5 linked regions of the Xenopus tropicalis genome follow. The protein of the gene in region 3 interacts with the protein of the main gene of each other region in a pairwise test. Links are inferred from orthologs where the notes say so. Each region holds a gene or a part of one and is shown on either strand. Other genes may lie near its edges. The genes, in order: ppp1r16b, mettl17, sf3b4, cwf19l2 and hnrnpul1.

The links.
Region 1: the proteins of sf3b4 (region 3) and ppp1r16b interact in binary tests that used the Homo sapiens proteins (3 or more experiments, as listed by UniProt). The two-hybrid records come from large-scale screens. The link is inferred for Xenopus tropicalis from reciprocal best matches to the Homo sapiens genes SF3B4 and PPP1R16B.
Region 2: the proteins of sf3b4 (region 3) and mettl17 interact in binary tests that used the Homo sapiens proteins (3 or more experiments, as listed by UniProt). The link is inferred for Xenopus tropicalis from reciprocal best matches to the Homo sapiens genes SF3B4 and METTL17.
Region 4: the proteins of sf3b4 (region 3) and cwf19l2 interact in binary tests that used the Homo sapiens proteins (3 or more experiments, as listed by UniProt). The two-hybrid records come from large-scale screens. The link is inferred for Xenopus tropicalis from reciprocal best matches to the Homo sapiens genes SF3B4 and CWF19L2.
Region 5: the proteins of sf3b4 (region 3) and hnrnpul1 interact in binary tests that used the Homo sapiens proteins (3 or more experiments, as listed by UniProt). The link is inferred for Xenopus tropicalis from reciprocal best matches to the Homo sapiens genes SF3B4 and HNRNPUL1.

The regions. Positions count from the first base shown.
Region 1 is NC_030686.2:40,347,441-40,351,218, forward strand, and holds part of ppp1r16b (protein phosphatase 1 regulatory inhibitor subunit 16B), read left to right. Parts: intron 1-1,271; coding exon 1,272-1,397; intron 1,398-2,053; coding exon 2,054-2,129; intron 2,130-2,305; coding exon 2,306-2,435; intron 2,436-2,666; coding exon 2,667-2,817; intron 2,818-3,778. UniProt on the Homo sapiens protein: Regulator of protein phosphatase 1 (PP1) that acts as a positive regulator of pulmonary endothelial cell (EC) barrier function. Involved in the regulation of the PI3K/AKT signaling pathway, angiogenesis and endothelial cell proliferation.
Region 2 is NC_030677.2:143,417,690-143,421,947, reverse strand, and holds the start of mettl17 (methyltransferase-like protein 17, mitochondrial), read left to right. Parts: upstream 1-1,427; 5' UTR 1,428-1,507; coding exon 1,508-1,543; intron 1,544-4,258. Other genes in the region: parp2 (poly [ADP-ribose] polymerase 2), read right to left, coding at 1,178-1,226. UniProt on the Homo sapiens protein: Mitochondrial ribosome (mitoribosome) assembly factor. Binds at the interface of the head and body domains of the mitochondrial small ribosomal subunit (mt-SSU), occluding the mRNA channel and preventing compaction of the head domain towards the body.
Region 3 is NC_030684.2:128,887,386-128,891,822, forward strand, and holds the start of sf3b4 (splicing factor 3B subunit 4), read right to left. Parts: upstream 3,043-4,437; 5' UTR 3,007-3,042; coding exon 2,973-3,006; intron 689-2,972; coding exon 560-688; intron 1-559. UniProt on the Homo sapiens protein: Component of the 17S U2 SnRNP complex of the spliceosome, a large ribonucleoprotein complex that removes introns from transcribed pre-mRNAs.
Region 4 is NC_030678.2:160,240,139-160,243,916, forward strand, and holds part of cwf19l2 (CWF19-like protein 2), read left to right. Parts: intron 1-12; coding exon 13-129; intron 130-790; coding exon 791-946; intron 947-2,800; coding exon 2,801-2,881; intron 2,882-3,778.
Region 5 is NC_030684.2:79,233,557-79,237,111, forward strand, and holds part of hnrnpul1 (heterogeneous nuclear ribonucleoprotein U-like protein 1), read left to right. Parts: intron 1-1,653; coding exon 1,654-1,782; intron 1,783-1,883; coding exon 1,884-2,052; intron 2,053-3,555.

The sequences.
Region 1 (3,778 bases), on a different chromosome or scaffold from region 3:
GTTAGTGGCTTACACCATCGTGGTCTACGACTATGACAGTGGGTACAATGCTTTGGGGATACCCAGGGTCGGAGGGGGGGGTGAAGGGCCCCCTGCCGGCCCCCCCCCCCTGCAGGGGCCCCTCTAACCCCCCTCCCAGGACCCCCACCTGACGTCCTCCCCCAAGTGCATAAGTTTAAAGCATCAGGGGAGGAACGGTCGGGCAGGGGAGCGCCCACAAGGGTTGGGTCTGAGCCGCTGGGATATTTCCCGGTGTCCCGGCGGCCCAGTCCGACCCTGGGGATACGATTGTTACCTAATTTCTCCCCCTTATATATGTGTTTTTAAAGGAGACATATCATATAAAAATTAAGAATGTACCAGGGAATTATACTCCTCTTTATATAGAAGGATTGTGCTTAAAAAAGTTGTGTTTTGGACTGATTTATGGAGAAATTCCACCAAAACCCCACTAGTCCCGCCCATCTGTTCCACTTCCTGCTGGCTGAATTCTCTGGATGAGCTGGGGAGCCGGCGGCCCTCCGTACCCTGCACTGTAGGATAGGAACCAATCAGCAGCTAGGCTGACCTGATGGGGAACTGAAGCCTGTCTTTGTTTGTATGACTGCAGGGCTGTGATTGGCTTATCCCCCTTATGCTGTGCTTCTGGCAGGGACCGTTAGGACACGCCCACCCTTTATCTGAAACACAGACAGGGACCTGAGAGGATCTATAGGGAGCTCCAATAAAGTGGCCATTTTTGCAGAAAGTATTCAATTGTATCCCAAAGTGAAACCAGCACCATTGCCTGCAAAATTCGTTTTTTTTTCATTTATCCAATATGTCTCCTTTAAGCATTTGTGCTTCCCACTTCCAAATATACCGCAAACTCCCACCAGGCTCTGGGTGCCATTCTTTCCTCTAGTTTTGCCAGCCATGACACAGCAAATATAAGCCAAAACCCAATATAATTCCCCATGGTAATAGGGCAAGCTGATTACGCCAAGCACTGGGACCCATTGTAGAAGCCTGTTGGCTGCCAGTACATGTGGAGAATGTAGCACGGCATCAGCGATGTAGAGTAACTGTTCTTGTGAAATAGGACTAGTTAGGGGCATTTTGAATACAGGTGATTATTGCCACCTTGTGGTTGTTCTTGTGCATAGCATGTGCATCTGCCTTAATCTGTTGCCCTATTTATCCTAAATACTGATCGATTTATCTGCTTTTGGCTGTTCCTTTCTGCCCTGACATAAATAAAAAAGATGACAAACCTTTTGTTCCCACCCCAGCTCCACATAGCAGCGTCTCGGGGCTTCGCAGAGGTGGCTGAGATGCTTCTGGAGAATGGGGCCCATGTTGAAGTGAAGGATCCTGATGTGTGGGAACCGCTACATGCTGCAGCCTTTTGGGGTCAGGTAAGATCTGTTCAATCCTTGTTTGTCGCCATGTTGTTATTTTTAAGCAAATAATACTCATTTTTAAAAATGATGTCCTTTTTCTCTTTAATAAAACTGTAGCTTGTCCTTGATGAAGTTGCATGAATTTATATTGGGTTCCAAACAACCCTATTGGGTTTATTTAATGGGTAAATTATTTTTAGCAGATTTACGGTATGGAGTTCCAAATTATGGAAAGATCCCTTATTTGGAAAACTAATTTCCCAAACATTATGGGGAATAGATTGTACACCTGTAGTCCTAACTAGGGATGCACTGAATCCACTGTTTTGGGATTCAGCCGAACCCTGAATCGTTTATAAAAGATTTGGCCAAATACCGAAACGAATCTGGATCCTAATATGCATGTGAAAATTAAGCTAAGGAAGGGTTAAAAATATTCGAATTCCGTGTTTATATGACATAAAGTCACATGAATTTTAGGATTTGGTTCGGCCAAGCATGTGGATTTGGCAGAATCCGAATCCTGCGGAAAGAGGCCGAAGCTTGGCCAAATCCTGAACTGATTTGGTGCATCCCGAGTCCTAACACCCATTCCTCCACCTAGTCCACTGCCAGTACCATTGTGTGGGAAATGCATACCTAGTTACCAATCTCCTTAATTCCTTCTGCAGATCTACGTAGCAGAGGTTTTAGTCTCACATGGTGCCAGTCTCAGCGCTAAAACAGCCCTGGATGAGACTCCTCTCGGTGAGTCAGGACACTCTCTCTGCCCTGTTTATCTCTTGGAGGGTAGAGGACACCTCTTTATTATCATCTGGTGCATTAGAGCCTTTTGCATCCAAGTGTTTTTCTGTTTTTTTTATTCTCACCCTCTTCCCACCTCTCCATTTGGGCTTAGCTTTGCCTTTGTGTCTCTATGGCAGATCTGTGTGAAGATGAAGAACTTCGCTCCTTGCTTCTGGAACTGAAGCACAAACACGATATCATCATGAAGTCTCAGCAGAAGAACAAGTCTTCTCTGAGCCGCAGAAGTTCCAGCACCGGGAGCCATGGGTCAGTATACTCAGTTACATGGATAGTGTCCTGTGAAATTAGCAAGTGTAGGAACTAAAAGAAGCATAGGAGCATAAGAAAAATGAGATTAAATGTTATATGAAAGTGAGAGGAAATGGGCAAAACCATATGATTGTAGGTAACTTGTTCTAATCTGATGCCCTTGTCCCTTCAGTGTTTGCCTTTCTTCCTATCAGCACCGTCTCTCATCCTTTCTGTGTCTCCTCCCAGTAAGGTGGTGCGGCGCGCCAGCCTGTCAGAGCGGACCAACCTGTACAGAAGGGAATATGAGAAGGAGGCAGTGGTGTGGCAATGTTTGGTGTCTTCAGGGAACACAGAGGGCACCCAGGATGAGGAAGAGAGCAGCCCAGAAGTACAGCAGGTAACCTGACCAGTAACTGCATTGATAGTTAAGAACAGTCATCTGAATAACCAGAAGACAGACAGGGTTCTGGTAGGAGCCAGAAACAATGTGAATCAGTGTTTGAAAGAGACTATAGGACTATAGGGTTTGGAGCTGGGTAGCATGGTTCTGGCTATTGATTGTAATCAGTATTGCTATAGAAGCTGCTTGTAGGCAGCACTGCCCCGGCACAGATTTATGGGGGCTCAAGGAAGGTAGTCCATGCTAAAGTGCACCTGGCACTAACCCAGAGATCACATGGCTAACTGCCACCTATTACTGCTATAAAGAGCAGACTAACTGCCGCTCATTACTGCTGTAAAGAGCAGACTAACTGCCGCCTACTACTGCTGTAAAGAGCAGACTAACTGCTGCCTATTACTGCTGTAAAGAGCAGACTTACTGCTGCCTATTACTGCTGTAAAGAGCAGACTAACTGCCTCCTATTACTGCTGTAAAGAGCAGACTAACTGCCGCCTATTACTGCTGTAAAGAGCAGACTAACTGCTGCCTATTACTGCTGTAAAGAGCAGACTAACTGCCTCCTATTACTGCTGTAAAGAGCAGACTAACTGCCGCCTATTACTGCTGTAAAGAGCAGACTTACTGCCTCCTATTACTGCTGTAAAGAGCAGACTTACTGCCTCCTATTACTGCTGTAAAGAGCAGACTAACTGCTGCCTATTACTGCTGTAAAGAGCAGACTCTTCTGTTGACCAAATGGGTTTAGCTAAACACATATGGGGTAATGTGACGGTAAATAGAAAAGGGACAGAACAGAAAGCTACTAACTACATGATACTAAAAGTTAATAAATCGTGAATGGATCTTTGCCCAATTTGGCCACTCATGTGCAGTGCCAAATTATGCTGATCTTTGGTCAATAGGTCTGGAGACCCTTTGGGGAGGACCCTCCATAGGTCAGGAAGGCTGTCCCAAT
Region 2 (4,258 bases), on a different chromosome or scaffold from region 3:
TTGGGCCAATAAAATACATTTGTTGAGATACTATTATACTAAATAGCTATAGAAAATTCTATTACGGTTATCATATCTTAAATACTATGAAGATGAAATCCTCACTCCTTTGGTTTTACAATTCAATTTAAAGGGGACATGTCACTAAGATATAAAAATCTGTATAATAAAAAGACCATTTCAAATTAAGCATGAAACCCATTTTTTTAATTAAAATATCCCTATCCTGTCATAAGAATATTTAAAAAATCTCACCTGTCAATCATATACTGCCTGCCCTGCCTCTTTGACTTGGGCATAGTAATCACTTTCATTTTTCATGCTACACTTTCTGTCCCTGTTCTCCTTACATTCCCCCTCTTAAGGTGGCCATACACGCACCGATAATATCATACGAAACCTCATTTCGTACGATATTCGGTGCGTGTATGGTATGTCGGCAAGTCGACCGATATCGCAGGAAGCTGCTGATATCAGCCGACTCGTCGATCGGACCAGTTTGAAAATTTTGATCGGGCGCCATAGAAGGCTCCTGACCAAAATCTCCCTTCAGCGCTGAATCGGCAGAAGGAGGTAGAAATCCTATTGTTTCTACCTCCTTACCTGCCGATTCAGCCCTGAATGGTGTGTGGCGGATCTGACGATGTTTCGTGCGACCGATGGTCGCATGAAACATCGTCAGATTGCCACGTGTATGGCCAGCTTTACTCACTGTCTATAATTCTATTGCCTGGGCAAGTGGGCATGGATGTTGGGTCCCCCATTCTGGTGCATAAACACAAGATTTTGGGATAATGCAAATATTGCCTTAATAATAGTGCCCACAAAATGGCTCTAATTTTGGATTCCAAAAGATTGAAGAACACAAGATTTAAAAAAATGTATATAGAGTAAGTAAAGATTACTTTTCTTGAAAAACCACAATAAAAAGAATTTGGAATTATTCCCTAGGAGACAGATCCCCTTTAAATGGCACAAGCAACATACTTTATGTGTTGGTTATATTACAGAGACAGCCTGCTTTGTACAAACCCAATAAAGCTGTGAGTGGCTGCTGGGAGTTGTAGTGCAAAGCCAGTTGGGGGTAGAGGAGGCAAAGGCTGAATATATAGAGGCACTGACAGGTGTCATACTCAGTGACGCACACATGACTTGTTTACACGGACAGACTACTCACCCCGGGCCTTTCTCGCCCGCCCTTGGACCTTTCCGCTGCGCCCTGACATCTCCACTAAGCGGGGTGCGTTATTGCCCAAACCCACTTCGCTGCAGTATTCCTCTCGTTACGGCCTCTTCTACTCAGTAGTTTCCTCGCCGGCCCCACGCCCCTATTGGTTGCTATGTCAGTGGAGGGAAAATGACGCATATTTTTCGCGCAGGGATTGGTTCATGATTTGCAATCCCATTGGACGTCTGAGAGAGAATTGGAGCATGTTGGGTGCTAAGTACTACTGCCAGTAAAAGGCAACACAGCCGGTGATTGACACTTCTTGCCTGCTTCTGAAACATGCTCTCTTCAAAGATATGCTTCCGCCAGCTCCGGGTAAGTAACTGCGCGTTTGGGCCCAATGCAGATTAACTAGCAATGACATTGTAAGCTTTAACTTTGAGGACACGTTTGAAAGGCCCGCCTCTTATTTAAATGAACCTCACAACGTGTGGGTATTTCTGGGAGTTTTCTGGCTTTAAATTCAACGTTCATTATTTTTAAAATATAATAAAGCCTTACAGACTGCTGAAATTAATTTTTCACACTAAAGTTGTCAACAGGAATACTAATATCACAAAGAATAAAATCTCCCTAATGTAAGAATTTATTGTTCTGGCGGTATATATACGGCTGAGGCGCTGTAAGTAAGAAGAGCGGAAGGGAAGCTCATTGCTGAGGGCACATGCTGGGTGCGTCACATCCGTGTCGTCACTCCAATCATTCCCTCCGGGAAGGTCTGAGACTTGAGCCGCAAGCAGCCCTCGCAGGGCGTCACCCGAGTAACGGGTGGGTGAGTCCCCAGAAACCCCACGCTGGAGTGGAACAGTCCGTAAAGTGGTGGAGGCTATGCAGGAGAAGCGCAATCTGATCGTAGTGGAAGGAGGCGTGCCACAGATTGAGGTACCTCCCACCTCCCATGTGCGACACAGACGAGCTGATGCTGCCTCCTCCCCGGACCTTGGAAGTGGCTCACGGCTGGCACAGTTAGTCCAATGGCTGAGGTGAGGTAGCAGCACGGGATTGGTGCGCACCTCATAACCCAAGTCAGACTACTCTCCCGCCGCTCTTTTATTAGATTTCTCTGTTTTACACCTAATAAAATCATTTCGTCTCATTGCGAACGTCAAAGCTGTCATTTTCTGGGGAGTTCAAGCAATTTGTTTATAGCAACAAGGGCGCTAGTAGTGTAGCTTTTAACCCATAGTTGCAGCGTTTATCGAGCTCTGGTGGGATAGAAAGCTCATTCAAAGCTCAAGTAAAAAAATCTGTTGCAAGTCAGGTCAAAGGGAAGTTAAGGATGGTTCAACTTTGCATTAACTTTTAGTTTGTTCTAGAATGTCATATTCCTACCAACTTTGCAGTTGTCCTTCATTATTTATTTCTTACAGTTTTTAAGTTATTTGCCTTCCACATATTGCCAACTTTTAAAAGGGGGTCACTGACCCCAGTAGCCCAAAAACTTTTGCTCTGTAAACTTACAATTTTATTTATATTGTTATTTTTGTATTACTTATCTTTCTAGTCAGTCCCTTTCCTATTCATATTCCATCCTTGGTTGCTAAGGTAACCAGATTGCTTCTTAAAATCCATGCTGGAGAGCTGCTGAACAAAAAGCTGAAAAAACAAAAACCAATTGCTATGGGCAACAATGCCGGTGATGTTTGTCTCTAATGTTAATAAAAATGCACCTACACGATCATTTAATTGTTAACAACCCCTTTAAAGCTACTCCATGTTTGGTGTTTTTGAGTAAGATACCAGTAAGCAGCACCTCCACTTTACCTTTTGTTGTGACTGTTTTGATAACATGGCAATTATCTGTGTAAGGAGTTGCCACCCACCTGGCAGATATTTTACTTACTGGTAAATCACCTGCCCCTCCAACTAGCTTTTATCAACCTTAACATCAAGTTAATGTAAGATTGCTCAGAGCACTTTCCTAAGCACTATTGTAATTTATATTAATGCGCAATTATGAGCAGTTTTACATGAATTTGTTTCTAAAATGTCATTATCCTTTAAATAGTTCAGTATCAGTGTTCCCTCTAATTCCTCAATGGCTATGTGTGGGGAAAAAAATCTATTTTGTGTGCACATTTTAAATTTGTGTGTGCATTGTTAAAACTGTGTGCTCTGGACAGAATAAATGCAAAATGTTGTGTTTTGACACAATGGGGTTGATTCACTAAAGTGCGTTAAGTCGCATATCACATGCGTTAATTTTCGCACGACCGCATGCGGTAGATTTAACACATGCGTTAATTAGCGCACAGAAAAGAATACTAACAGTAAGGCGCGCTAAATATCGCATTAGGCTATGCGAAAATTAACACCTACTTCAGGCAGGCGATAATTATAGAAAAGTACAGTTCATGAGCTTTTGGCAATAAAATATGGACTTACAGTGTTATTTATTCAAGTCTGTGTTTCCCCTAGAGTGCCAGTTTGCAGCGAAATGGTCATTTTTAATACAGTAATTTTCCTCAAGTATTGGCGAGTATGGCTAACATGGCGTGCGTTTATTCGCGCGACTATTTATATGCGGCTACAAGCGATGAAATGTTTCGCCAGGCATGGATTTGCAGCAAATTTTTGGACGTGCGGCAAATTTTTCCGCGGCAAATTTTTTCATGCGTTTCGCAAAACAATCTGCCAATGGCAAAACGCATGAAAAAATTCGCCACGCAAAAATTCACCGCACGTCCAAAAATTGACACAGGCGTCAAAAAATAATAGTCGCGGGCAACAATTTTTTTGGCCGCACAACATTTTTGCCGTTTCGTGGATCTTTTGAAAGATTTGCAAATTTTTCACCAAAGATATTTATAAGCATCTACTCTTTATATGATACCATTTATATGATACTATTTATATGTGGCTACTATTTATATACACTATTTATATGCGGCGACAATTTATATGCACTATTTAAATGCTACTATTTAAATGCTACTATTTATATGCGGCGACTATACGCGGGCGTTATTTAGCGCATGTAATGTCAACTACCGCACAAAAATAGTCTTCGCAAGTTAAATAACGCATGCA
Region 3 (4,437 bases):
GCTACTTGTTGTGGCTACTAAAAAAAAAAAAAAGACAGTGCTGGTCATTTACTGATAATTGTCTCTACGTGTGTTTTAGCAGGGGCAATTCTCAGTTGTCTATGGCATGGGATTTTCTGGGGTTTAGTAGCCTTGAAAAAGTAGCTGCTACTTAGTAGCTCTGTGTGTCTTCACCCTGATGCTTTTGGATCCAGCACACATTTTCACCAGGACACCTGTGGTGTTTCCCCATTCAGGCAAATGGGAAGAGACAGTGACCAAGTAGATATGTTGCTTTAACCATGATCAAACGATGTGGAAACTATTGCTTCCCGCACACAGAAACCCCCAAAATACCCTGTAATCTGTTCCTTCAAAAAGCATGAATAAATACCATTTTTATATGCTGAAATCCAGCTGCAAAACAGTTCTTCTCTTTCTGCATCATTTGAAATCCTGGCAGGGGAGGAGGGACTAAAACATTCTTGTTACAAATTGCAACAACTTCTCCACAGCATTCCCCTCCATTCCTGCCTATACACAGCTATAAGAAATAATGGTTAAGAGGTGCCAATCTTACCTTGATGCTGCCCCGTGACCCTGTCTTTGGGCATGTGTGTATTCACTACAGGCCCTGCTTGCAAGAAGAGCTCCCATAGAAGAGGCTCAGACACCTTTTCATCCAGGCCTCCGACATACACTGTGGCATCTAAATCCAAAAAGAAAAAAAAAAAAAGTTATAGTACACGGCAAATCAGCTATTCCACCTTCTCTTTAAATATCCCCGTTACACTCTGAATAAATGCACAGATCATAGATCCGAGGCACTGTTGCCCTGAACTGGTAAAACTGGTGTGTTTGCTACAGTAACACTACTATAATTTATATGATAAGCTGCTGTGTAGCCACAGGGGCAGCCATTCAAGCTGGAAAAGAGGAGAAAAGGCACAGGTTACATAGCAGATAACAGATAAGTTCTGTAGAATACAATAGTGTTTTATCTGTTATCTGCTATGTGCCTGTGCCTTTTCTCCTTTGAATGGCTGCCCCCATGGCTACATAGCAGCTTATTTATATAAATTATAGTAGACTTTCTGAAGCAAACACACAGCTTTTACCAGTGCAGGGCAGCAGCACATTATATTTTAGTTACTTTTAGGGCTCTGGCACACGAGGAGATTTGTCGTCTGCGTTTTTTCCCCCTGGCGCTTTGGCGACAAGTCGCCACGAGAATACCCTCAAAGAGATTTCATGCGAGTTGAGCTCCAGGCGATCTGCTACCCATGGTACACTCAACAGTTAACCCCCCTCAAGTCGCTCAGAAAAGGGTCTGTGTGCGACTTGAAACAGCAGGCGATCTGAAGTAGCCTCGTATGTTTTGACGCTGGCAATTTCCATTGATTTAGCATTGGTGTCTTGTCGCCAAATCGCTCTTTTAAAAATCGCCGGCGACAAATCTCCTCGTGTTCCAGAGCCCTTATACACTTTCATTTTTTGGTGTTACTGTTCCTTTAATCCTTGTAATACAAACTCTCCTTGCTACAGGGTTTAGCTTTCCCTTTACAACCCTGGAGATATCCACCTATAAACCCGAAAGATAACGAGAGAAAGTTTTCATCAACTTTCCAACATATATATATACCGTATATACTCGAGTATAAGCCGAGTTTTTCAGCACTAAAAATGTGCTGAAAAAGGAACCCTCGGCTTATACTCGCGCATATACTCGCGTATATATACGGTAAATGGTTTCGCAGCTGCTCGTTGCATGCGAACCTGCCTGCACACCTGTGACGTAGCGGAAGATAGCGCTCGGACTACCGCCAGATAGCGAAGGACCCGTTCGCGGACTTTATTGAGGTTGTCCCGCAACTCTAAGGACCGGCCAAACAGCGCCAAACTCCCGGACCGTGGTGTCTTGTTGCTGTCGGGTGTGCTGCTTATTGCAATAATTGTGCCGAGAGCGCTCTGTTTCTTTAACCCTTGTCACACGGCAGCTGGCGAGGCGATTACATGACGGCTCCTTGCAGACACACAGGTTGGAATTAAGAGGAGCGCCGCCGCTTATTTAAAGAGCAGCGTAAATGCTGGGCTTACGGATCCTCTGGCGCTGCTGACAGGGCACACCGCAAGGTACCGCTGCTTCACTTGCACACCGGGAGTTGCTTTGGGTCTCATTGAAATATAGCAGGGTGCTGGGTGGCCATTCTGTGGGTGTCTCATCCTTGTCTTGTCGGGCACTGATGTCCCAAATCGCCACCATGAGATAGAACAGCTTTGAGGTAACCTATTGTTTCTCCTACTCCCATGTAACTGGTCGGCTTATACTCAAGTCAATAAGTTTTTCCAGTTTTCTTAGGTAAAATTAGGTACCTCGGCTTATATTCGGATCGGCTTATACTCGAGTATATACGGTAATAAAAAAAATCAGTGGTTCAAAGGTAAATGCTATTGCTATTGGAAGTAGTATCTATCTGCCCCTTTCTTATTCTTGAAACCATTTCATAGTTTAATAGCCCTGGCCTTTGTTACATTGTTTCAGAAGTCAGAACCAGCAGTGTAGACTATAATAAGACAGACGGCTTTCGCTAACAATTATATTTTGCAAGAAACTTTATAAACGTTGGAAATGTGTAATGAATGTATATAGGGAGGCTGCTTAGCATTAGTTCTGTGCATTATACACAGTGTTTATGGGGATAGCACTATAAACTGTATTGGTGGGGAAGAAGCAGATCAATGTTTCTGTGTAGATTCAGGTACAGTTACAGGCCGGGCTGCCGATATTATAAGAACAGCTTTGTGTCCAAATGACTTTTGCACAGAGATGGAGCCTGCACCTCATGCACACAGTGCAGCCCGCCTCCCCCTGCTCTGAGCTCTTACTGTTCCCTGTAAACCCCGGATACCCCTACTTCCAGCCCCCCCGGCATAACAGTTCCCTCCGCCCCAATCACCCCATGCAGCCCATACGCAGTCTGTACGTTCCTTACCCTGGTTCCGTTCAGATATCGGCCCAGCCGCCATTTTCTCGCCGCCAACCACTCAGCCACCTCGCTGCTTCAGTTTCCGCTTCCCTACTTCCGGCCTCAGAACGCTTACTTCCGCAACCACTTTTTTTTTTTTTTTTTAGATGGAATAACTTTATTAACATGCCTTATGCAGTCAATGCTTTCCGGCGGAGATATTTGTATTGTAATGAAACCCCAAAGCTAAAAGTAAACGTGTAGTAAACTCTGAGGGGGTTATTTATTTATTTTTATATTTTTTTAAGATTTTACAGTAAATGTGCCAGTATTGTCAGCGCATAGAGGGTGTTTCATTGTTTCTATGGGCACCAAGGATTATTAAAGGGTCCCTGGTGTGAGCTAAGGGTGCAGACACACGGAGCTACTAGTAGCAACTACTTGTAGTCGCTACTTAAATAGACAATGCTGATCATTTACTGATAACAGTCTCAATGTGTTTTAGGGCTCTGGCACACGGGGAGATTAGTCGCCCGCGACAAAACTCCCTGTTCGCGGGCGACTAATCTCCCCGAGTTGTCATGACCCGCCATCCCACTGGCAAACATGTAAGTCGCCGGCGGGATGGCACACGCGGCGGCGCGATTTCCCAAATCTTTTTCGGCGATTTCGGGAAATCGCGCCGCCGCGTGTGCCATCCCACCGGCGACTTACATTGTCGCCGATGGGATGGCAGGGGAAGGCAACTCAGGGAGATTAGTCGCCCGCGAACAGGGAGTTTTGTCGCGGGCGACTAATCTCCCCGTGTGCCAGAGCCCTTAGCAGAGGGAATTCTCAGTATTGTCTATGGCAGGGGATTTTTTGGCGTTTAGTAGCTGTGAAAAAGTAGCTGCTACTAGTAGCTCTGTGTGTCTTCACCCTAAAGGAACATACAAGGGTCACATGTAAAGACCAATGCTCCTCCCCTTTTACATAGAGATGTCTGTTGGTTGAGAATTTAGTGAGACAAGAAAGTCTTATTGGCCAAATAGTAGATTTGACTATTGTGTCTGATGTATATTTTTAAACCTTTAATGTTAAAGGTAACTGAAAGCCTGGTGAATGCCTTGGTACCAAAAACTCCTTGTTTGTTGCCCCTGGATATAAAAAGCAGACTGGTGGAGCAGTAGTGAGGGGAGCCAGAGCAGCCCAAGATGGCAGCTGCCAAACCTGCACTTTTCTTCTTCTAACCAGATACAACAACTAAGCAGGTTTGGGGGTCCCTGTTGGTGGGGTTTAGGAAGGGACAAAGGTACTAACCAGGCTTTTATTCTCTTTTATCCTGATTGTACACAGGACAATGTAAGATGACAGTTTGGTTGGCCTCCCCAGTATAAGCTGGCAGCTTTGACAACATTGTCCCATAGTCCTAGGTTGTGATACAGTTGTTGGATCATAACCATCTGATCAGTTTGATTTTGCCCAGTATATGGGTTATAACTACTGATTTTTG
Region 4 (3,778 bases), on a different chromosome or scaffold from region 3:
CTTTTTCTCTAGGTATACTTGTGTCTTCCCAACCATCTGTCACTCACAGAGGGACATTGCCTGATCGTTCCATTGCAGCACCACACAGCGAGCACTCTGCTGGATGAAGACATCTATAATGAAATCCAGGTGCTTTTAATAGCGATTCTATATATATATTACTTGTCATGTTAGCGACCTGATTCCATGGATAACACAGCTCATTGCCAGCAGTAACCATACAGTGGCAGTGGAGTGCTTTGAAATATGGGGGATAAAGGAGAAGGCTGCATTATAGTTTAATGGTGTAGATCAATAAATTGAGCAGACTAGAGATGCCTGTAGCTTAAGGTAAGGCTGGGGATGGGTAAGACAGGTGCTATTTAAGCAGTATGCCGCTTTCTAGGTCATACAGATGTATCTGCTGCTTCTTCACCATTTCATATTTATTCAGAAAATACAGAGGTTGTACGATTCTTACATCTGAGGGGCACTGCTATTTGACAATAGTGCTCAAGTTCAAAAGTATGGCAGTTAAAACACCAGCTTGTAACTTACCCCCTTACCAGTTGCATAAACATTCCATAAGCAGAAACAGCACAGTTCCATCACATTAAATATGCTGACGTTTTACATGGTAGATCCCATTTCTAATAAGCAACAAGAACCAATATATTAACCTAATTTCCGGAAGATAAATGAAAACGTGCAGTTGACTTTTATATAAATAAAGGCATATCTGGTTGTTTATGTTCTAAAAGTAAACCTTGTTATTGCTAAAAGAGCAAGTGGCTGCTTCGTCTCTCTCTAGGTGTTCCGGAAAGCCTTGGTCAGGATGTTTGAATCTAAAGGTCTGGACTGTGTCTTCTTGGAGTCAAACATATATGCAAGAAAACGGTTGCATTTGGTCTATGAGTGCATTCCTCTCCCAAAGGAAGTGGGTGATATGGCACCAATATATTTTAAGGTAAATTATCAACTTGCATTCAATTATTAGGAGCAATAGACGGATATAAAGAACCTCAGGTTTATAAAGAAATGAGCCACAGTGCCATGGGAACTAGTGAAGAAAGGTAATAGGGAATTTTTCCCAAAGTAGCCAGATTAAGGGGGTAGTTATGTAAAACAGCATAATAAGATCTAGATATAAGGGTTTGTCATTGTCCCGTCTAATATTGCTTTCTGGGAATGTGGGCATGATAATTGCAAGCTCATTCATTTCATCTGCAGCCAGATGGTGACAGAAGTTGCCAAACTTTAAAGCTGTGTGGTATTCACTCTCTACAACAGTGACAAGCTCTTGCAGATAAAGAGCAAATAGCAACCTGTAGCTATTCTGAATTTCTGAACAACTACTAGCTATTAAAGGAGAAGGAAAATCAGTTTGGCATTTTACTGCCAATAGATTTGCCACATTAGTGCTACTATATTTATTCTGCAGAAACCTTTACCATACCTGAGTAAACAGCCCTAGAAGCTTTCTCTGTTTGTTTAGGAGAGCAGCTGCCATTTTAGCTCAGTTTCCGTAACTGTAGCTGCTGCAGCTCTAGGGGTTGGTAGCTCAGATCACATATTCCTAAGGGAGGGGGAAGCAGGAGAGGGAAGAGAGCAGACTCTGGCCCCAGGAACGAAGGATTTTTCTGAGAGAGGAAATCAGATACCCTAAGAACATGTTTACAAAAAAGTAGACAAGAAATCCTGTGTTTCTTTTGATAGAGGACTCAGTGCAGCATTTCTGTGAGTGCTTATGGCTGTATTTACATAGACCTTTCCAATAAAGCTTACCGTACTTAGTTTTTCCCTTTCTTTCTCCTTTAAATGATACAAACGAGTCATGAGTGAATAGAATAGTTTGTATATAAAGTATGACTCCAGGGGTAGATTTTACATAAGACAGGTGGCACTTCAGTTTATGGTCAGTTGCTGGATGACCCCCCATCCTCAAAAAATGGTGGTGACTTGAGTTGAAATCCTATGCCCAAGCCACATGTGCCTCTTGGAAGCAAAGGAAAGATGGCACTATGCTCTACAGGCCAGTAAGTGATTATGGAAGAGTCAGATAAAGTCTAATTAATGTCACTTACTTACAACAGAAAACTTCTGTAAAATTCACAGGCTACTGGATTATCAGAATCGACCTTTCCAACCTTTACTACTGTACCTTGTCCAACTGTATCTTGGAATAACTAAACTCTGAAAATGAGCCAACGTGTTTCATTCTGGGATCAATAAATTGCCATGACCAATGAGAAATGGCAACAAACTGCACTGTTTGGTCTCCTTACTTGTATTTTTCTCTAAAAAATCAAATGTTCATTAGGAAAAAAATGAACCAAATGAGACTACAAACCCAATCAATGGAATAAGAGTTTGGAGTAACAGTTTAATGGCCACTTTACCTTGACCAGTTTAATACATTGTGTTGTTTCATTCATTTGACTGTTAAGCTCACAGAAACATGTTCCCTTCACACCAGCTACAAACCCATTATAAGAGATTTATGGGCAGATATTGGAGTCACAAATCAGCGGCAGTGTATCCGTCAGCCAACCTACGATGAATTGCAAATTTACTTTAAATGGAGTGTCGTCAATATATCAGATGTTTTTAATGGTTTATACTTTCCAGTTTCGTTGAACATTTGGCTGATAGAGCCGGGTATCACATACATAACGCCCGAAGGTTTCCATGTTACCATCCAGCCGTACATTTAGCCCATTTAGTGAATTCTGGTTCCTTTCAGAAAGGGCTTATTTGCTGATTTTTTATTCCATCTCCCATGTTAACCAATGTATTCATGCGTTTATTTTCATTAAACCAGAAAGCCATAATGGAATCTGATGAGGAGTGGTCCATGAATAAGAAATTAATAGACCTGTCTACAAAGGATATTCGAAGAGCTGTAAGTTTAAAAAAGTCTAAACATTTTACTATCCAAGAGCTGCCATCCCTCTATATTTCCCATCTTTGTCCTCATTATCACATTGAGACATTTCTATGTGATTCTCTTGAAATGAGCACACTCATACTTCTGTTATATGGTGTAATATGGAGGCTGGAGTCTGTTAGAATGTTACATATTCATGTTTTCAAGACAAGGGAGATCAAGATTTATATGGCTTTTTATGGCAGATTTCCAAAAGTATTTAAAAATATGAAACAATAACCATAGTATTGGCTATAAATCAATTGAAGGGTTATGAAACTGAGCAAAAATCAGAGCTTCAATGCAAATCCACAGGCTAAATTGGAAATACATGTATTCCCTTTGTGTTTCCATTGGGGGAGAACCCAAGCATACATAGGCATTTTACTGTTCTGACTAATGATGATGATTTATCTGCTTATATGTTCCAATACGTCTGCTTCTCAGAGCCCAATGTTACACAACAGAGTTTCCTATCATTGCCTGGCTGTAATTATATCTGGCATAATCCACTTTAGAATGTAGCTTAATCTGCATGTATCTAGTGTTTAATCCCCCGCTGATTTCTGTGTGATCGGAACATAGAAATTGGATTTATTTTTTCACTTGAGCTCAGACTTTAAGAGGTCACCAGAGATAATTCTGGATATCCTTGGAATTGGGGTCATAGCCATAAACTGGCTGGGGATGTTTCTCTTTTTATTGCCCTTATCTATTGAATTCTCGTACAGGTGTATGTTTTATCTGTTCTGTCTATCTGTTATTAATTGTTCTGCTTTAATACCCTAAGCTTCAGTGAAGCTATTACTGGCTTGGTTTGGTTTCAATTTTGCCTAAGAAGCTATTCTTCTCACTGGTCGTTATTATGGACTG
Region 5 (3,555 bases), about 50 Mb from region 3:
TTTTTTTGCAATAATAGAAAAATTAACTTGCAGAATGTCCGCAATTGTGGGACTGCTTTTGTAATATTGTAAAAATCATTAAAATTTAAAGATCCCGAAAAAATTATTTCCATTATGAATTATAGAGCAGAGAGAAGCTCTGCAGTCTTAGTTATAAATGTGTGGTTAACTTTATATTTATAAATATAAAAAAGGGGTTAAAGGAGACATTTTATATAAAGTTCATATTCAGTTATAATATTCATCCTCCCTCAAAATGTGAAATGATGCGGAAAGAAAGATGTTTTGAAAGCATTTTACCTCCTAAAACTGCCATTATATGAGAGCTGCATACACAAGCTCACTGATCAGAAGTCAGAGCCAAATGAGACATAGGAGTGTCGCTACAGTCTCCCACAGGAACTGGTCACAGCACTGACTGACTCAGCAGCAGCAGGGAAAACCCCTCCCTCCTTCTGTGTCTCTCTGCTTGTGCTGCTGCCAGGGGAGGGGAGAGAAACAAGCAGAGCAGGAACAGACTGTCTGTGAGCTCGCTAAGCCCCACCCACTTCCTTCTGTTTTACAGTTTTTTACATGGTTTAGTGCATTGTAAAAATTTATGCTATATATCCCCTTTAATATTTGTAATAAAGTGATAATCATTTGTGAGAGAACAAGACTTATGTATATGTGTCTCATCCTATATATCTGAAAAGATGTAACCAAGGTTTTATGGATAGTTACAGTTTTATCATGAAAACATCTTTCTTATGATATTAACCAGTTAACTAAGGGCTCTGGCACACGGGGAGATTAGTCGCCCGCGACAAATCTCCCTGTTCGCGGGCGACTAATCTCCCCGAGTTGCCATCAGAGAGCCGTCAGTTGCCATCCCACCGACGAACATGTAAGTCGCCGGTGGGATGGCACATTTCGGCAAATCGCCGAAAATGCCTCGCGTGGCAACTTCGGTGATTTGCCGAAATCACCTGCGCAGCGTGTACCATCCCATCGGCGACTTACATGTTCGCCGGTGGGATGGTAGTTCAGGGAGATTAGTCGCCCGTGACAAGGGAGATTTGTCGCGGGCGACTAATCTCCCCGTGTGCCAGAGCCCTAAGGGTTTTTCCTAAGAAGTCCAAATCTTTAAAGGTCTTTTAAGTTATGTCTCCCTTCCTGTCCAGTCAGTTTCACATCAGTCAATACCAGCATTTTACATTAGTCCATGGCTGCTTCTGTTTATCAGTTGGTAACAGATAAACTGTGCTTAATCCCATTTTTCTGTTATCTGCTGTGTAACCTGTACCTTTTCTTCTGTTTTACCTTTGAATGGCTGCCCCTGTGGCTACACAGCAGCTTGTTTATATAAACTATAGTAAAGTTTCTGAAGCAACCAAACCAGTTGTTCATGTCCAGGGCAACAGTACATTATATTTCAGTTACTTTAAAACACTTTCATTTATTGGTGTTACTTTTCCTTTAAGCCTTGATATGTTATTTACAACTATGCATTTGCTACATGTTTATGGTCACAGTCAAAAAAACATCTTGGCTAATAAAACAAATTAATTGTTATTGGGTGCCTTCTGCCTCTATAATAACATATATATGGATAGACAAGGAGTAAAATAAAAGAATTCTCCATATAATTTTCATATCTTGACCTCCAATCAGGTAATGGGTCTGCGAAGGCAACGTAATTATGCAGGGCGCTGGGATGTCCTTATACAACAAGCAACACAGTGTCTGAACCGTCTTATCCAGATTGCAGCCCGGAGGAAACGAAATTACATTCTGGATCAGGTAAAATAGATTAATAACATAATCCTAGATTCAGTTGTAGCTGCAGTGTTCAGTACATGACCTATACAAGTAGGACCTTTGGTGTTTTTTTCTACACACAGACAAATGTTTATGGGACAGCTCAAAAAAGGAAGATGCGTCCATTTGAAGGCTTTCAGCGCAAAGCCATCATAATCTGTCCCACAGATGCAGACTTGCAGGACCGTATAGTAAAACGTACAGATGAGGAGGGAAAGGATGTTCCAGACTCTGCTGTATTGGAAATGAAAGGTAATTCCCATTTTCATTATATCAGCCTCCTCATAATGTGTTTTTCAACATCCTTAACATTTTAATATGGTTGCAAAAAAACTATAAATGTTTTTTACTGTCAGTTTAAATATGTTATGATGGATGTGCAAATGGGTGTGAATGACTACTGCTGTTAAAGTGAAACTCATCCTTTATAAAAATAAAGTTAAGTAAAAGTTATATTGCCTAGTAGTTACATTATGGGGCAGATTTATTAAGACACGAATTTGAATCCCGAATGGGAAAAATTCGTATTGGACACGATAATTTCTGAAGATCGCAAAAATCGCGAATATGCTTATGAAAAAATTGTATTAGTCATGATAATATCGTATTGGCGATCCGAAAGTCACAACATTTTCGTATACGAACGATCGTAAAATGCAGGAAAACCTTTCCGACTTTGATCCTTCTGTGCATGATTTTGGAAGCCTCCCATAGGACTCAATGGCACTCTGCTGCTCCAACCTGGCCCAAGGAAAGTCTCCCATAGGGCTCAATGGCACTCTGCAGCTCCAACCTGGCCCAAGGAAAGTCTCCCATAGGACTCAATGGCACTCTGCTGCTCCAACCTGGCCCAAGGAAAGTCACAATACTGAAGCTTGAATGAATCTGAAACTTTCGTACTCGTTGCAACAATACAATTTTGTCGCATTTTTTTTTTTTTTTTTTTTTTTTTACGCACAGTACGAAAAAGTCGCGTTAAAATGAAAAACCGCCGAAAATACGCAAGCAACGAAAAAGTCGCAGAAAACACAAACGGCCCGATCGAACAAACGATCGAACTGTTCGTGGATTGATAAATCTCCCCCTATGTGTTACAAAGTGCCGGAACTTTCACTGAAAATTAAACTACATCTTGGAGTTTTGAATGTCTGAAATCGTGCTCCTGGGAACAATAGTAATGAATAAAATTTGTTTTGACCTGAACATTACTGTTGTGAACTGGAGCAAACAGGGATGTTTTAATTACATTTGGTATAACGTGAACATAAATGTGAATAAATTGATGTGATTATTTTAGTCCTACTGAGTGTATATGTGTGTGTGCTTTTGGATAGATAAGATTGTGTGCGTGTTATGATAGAAAAAAAGAGTAAATGTAATTTACTCTTTGGTTATAATTTCCTTTTCATTTATCAGAAATTGCTAGAAAGATAGTGAAGTACATAGAAGCAAGTTAAATGTTTTAACGGGTATTTAAGTTCATTTCAGTTTAAATTCCAGTTTTTATTTGTTTTTAAATAAGTTTTAGTGTGATGCAGACATTGATATTCTGCATCACAATTTGCGGTTGGTCTTCAGTTTTTCCCCCAATAACCGTGGCAGGTGATATTGTATTGATTCGATTGTTTGGGCCTCAAGAACAACAAATGCACCAAAGCACTCCTTGTCCCCAATGATTTATCAGGGTCTGAAAAGAAAGATAAAGCTAGAGAATGGCAAAATATTCAATAGCTATAAAAAATGAAGACCAGTTAA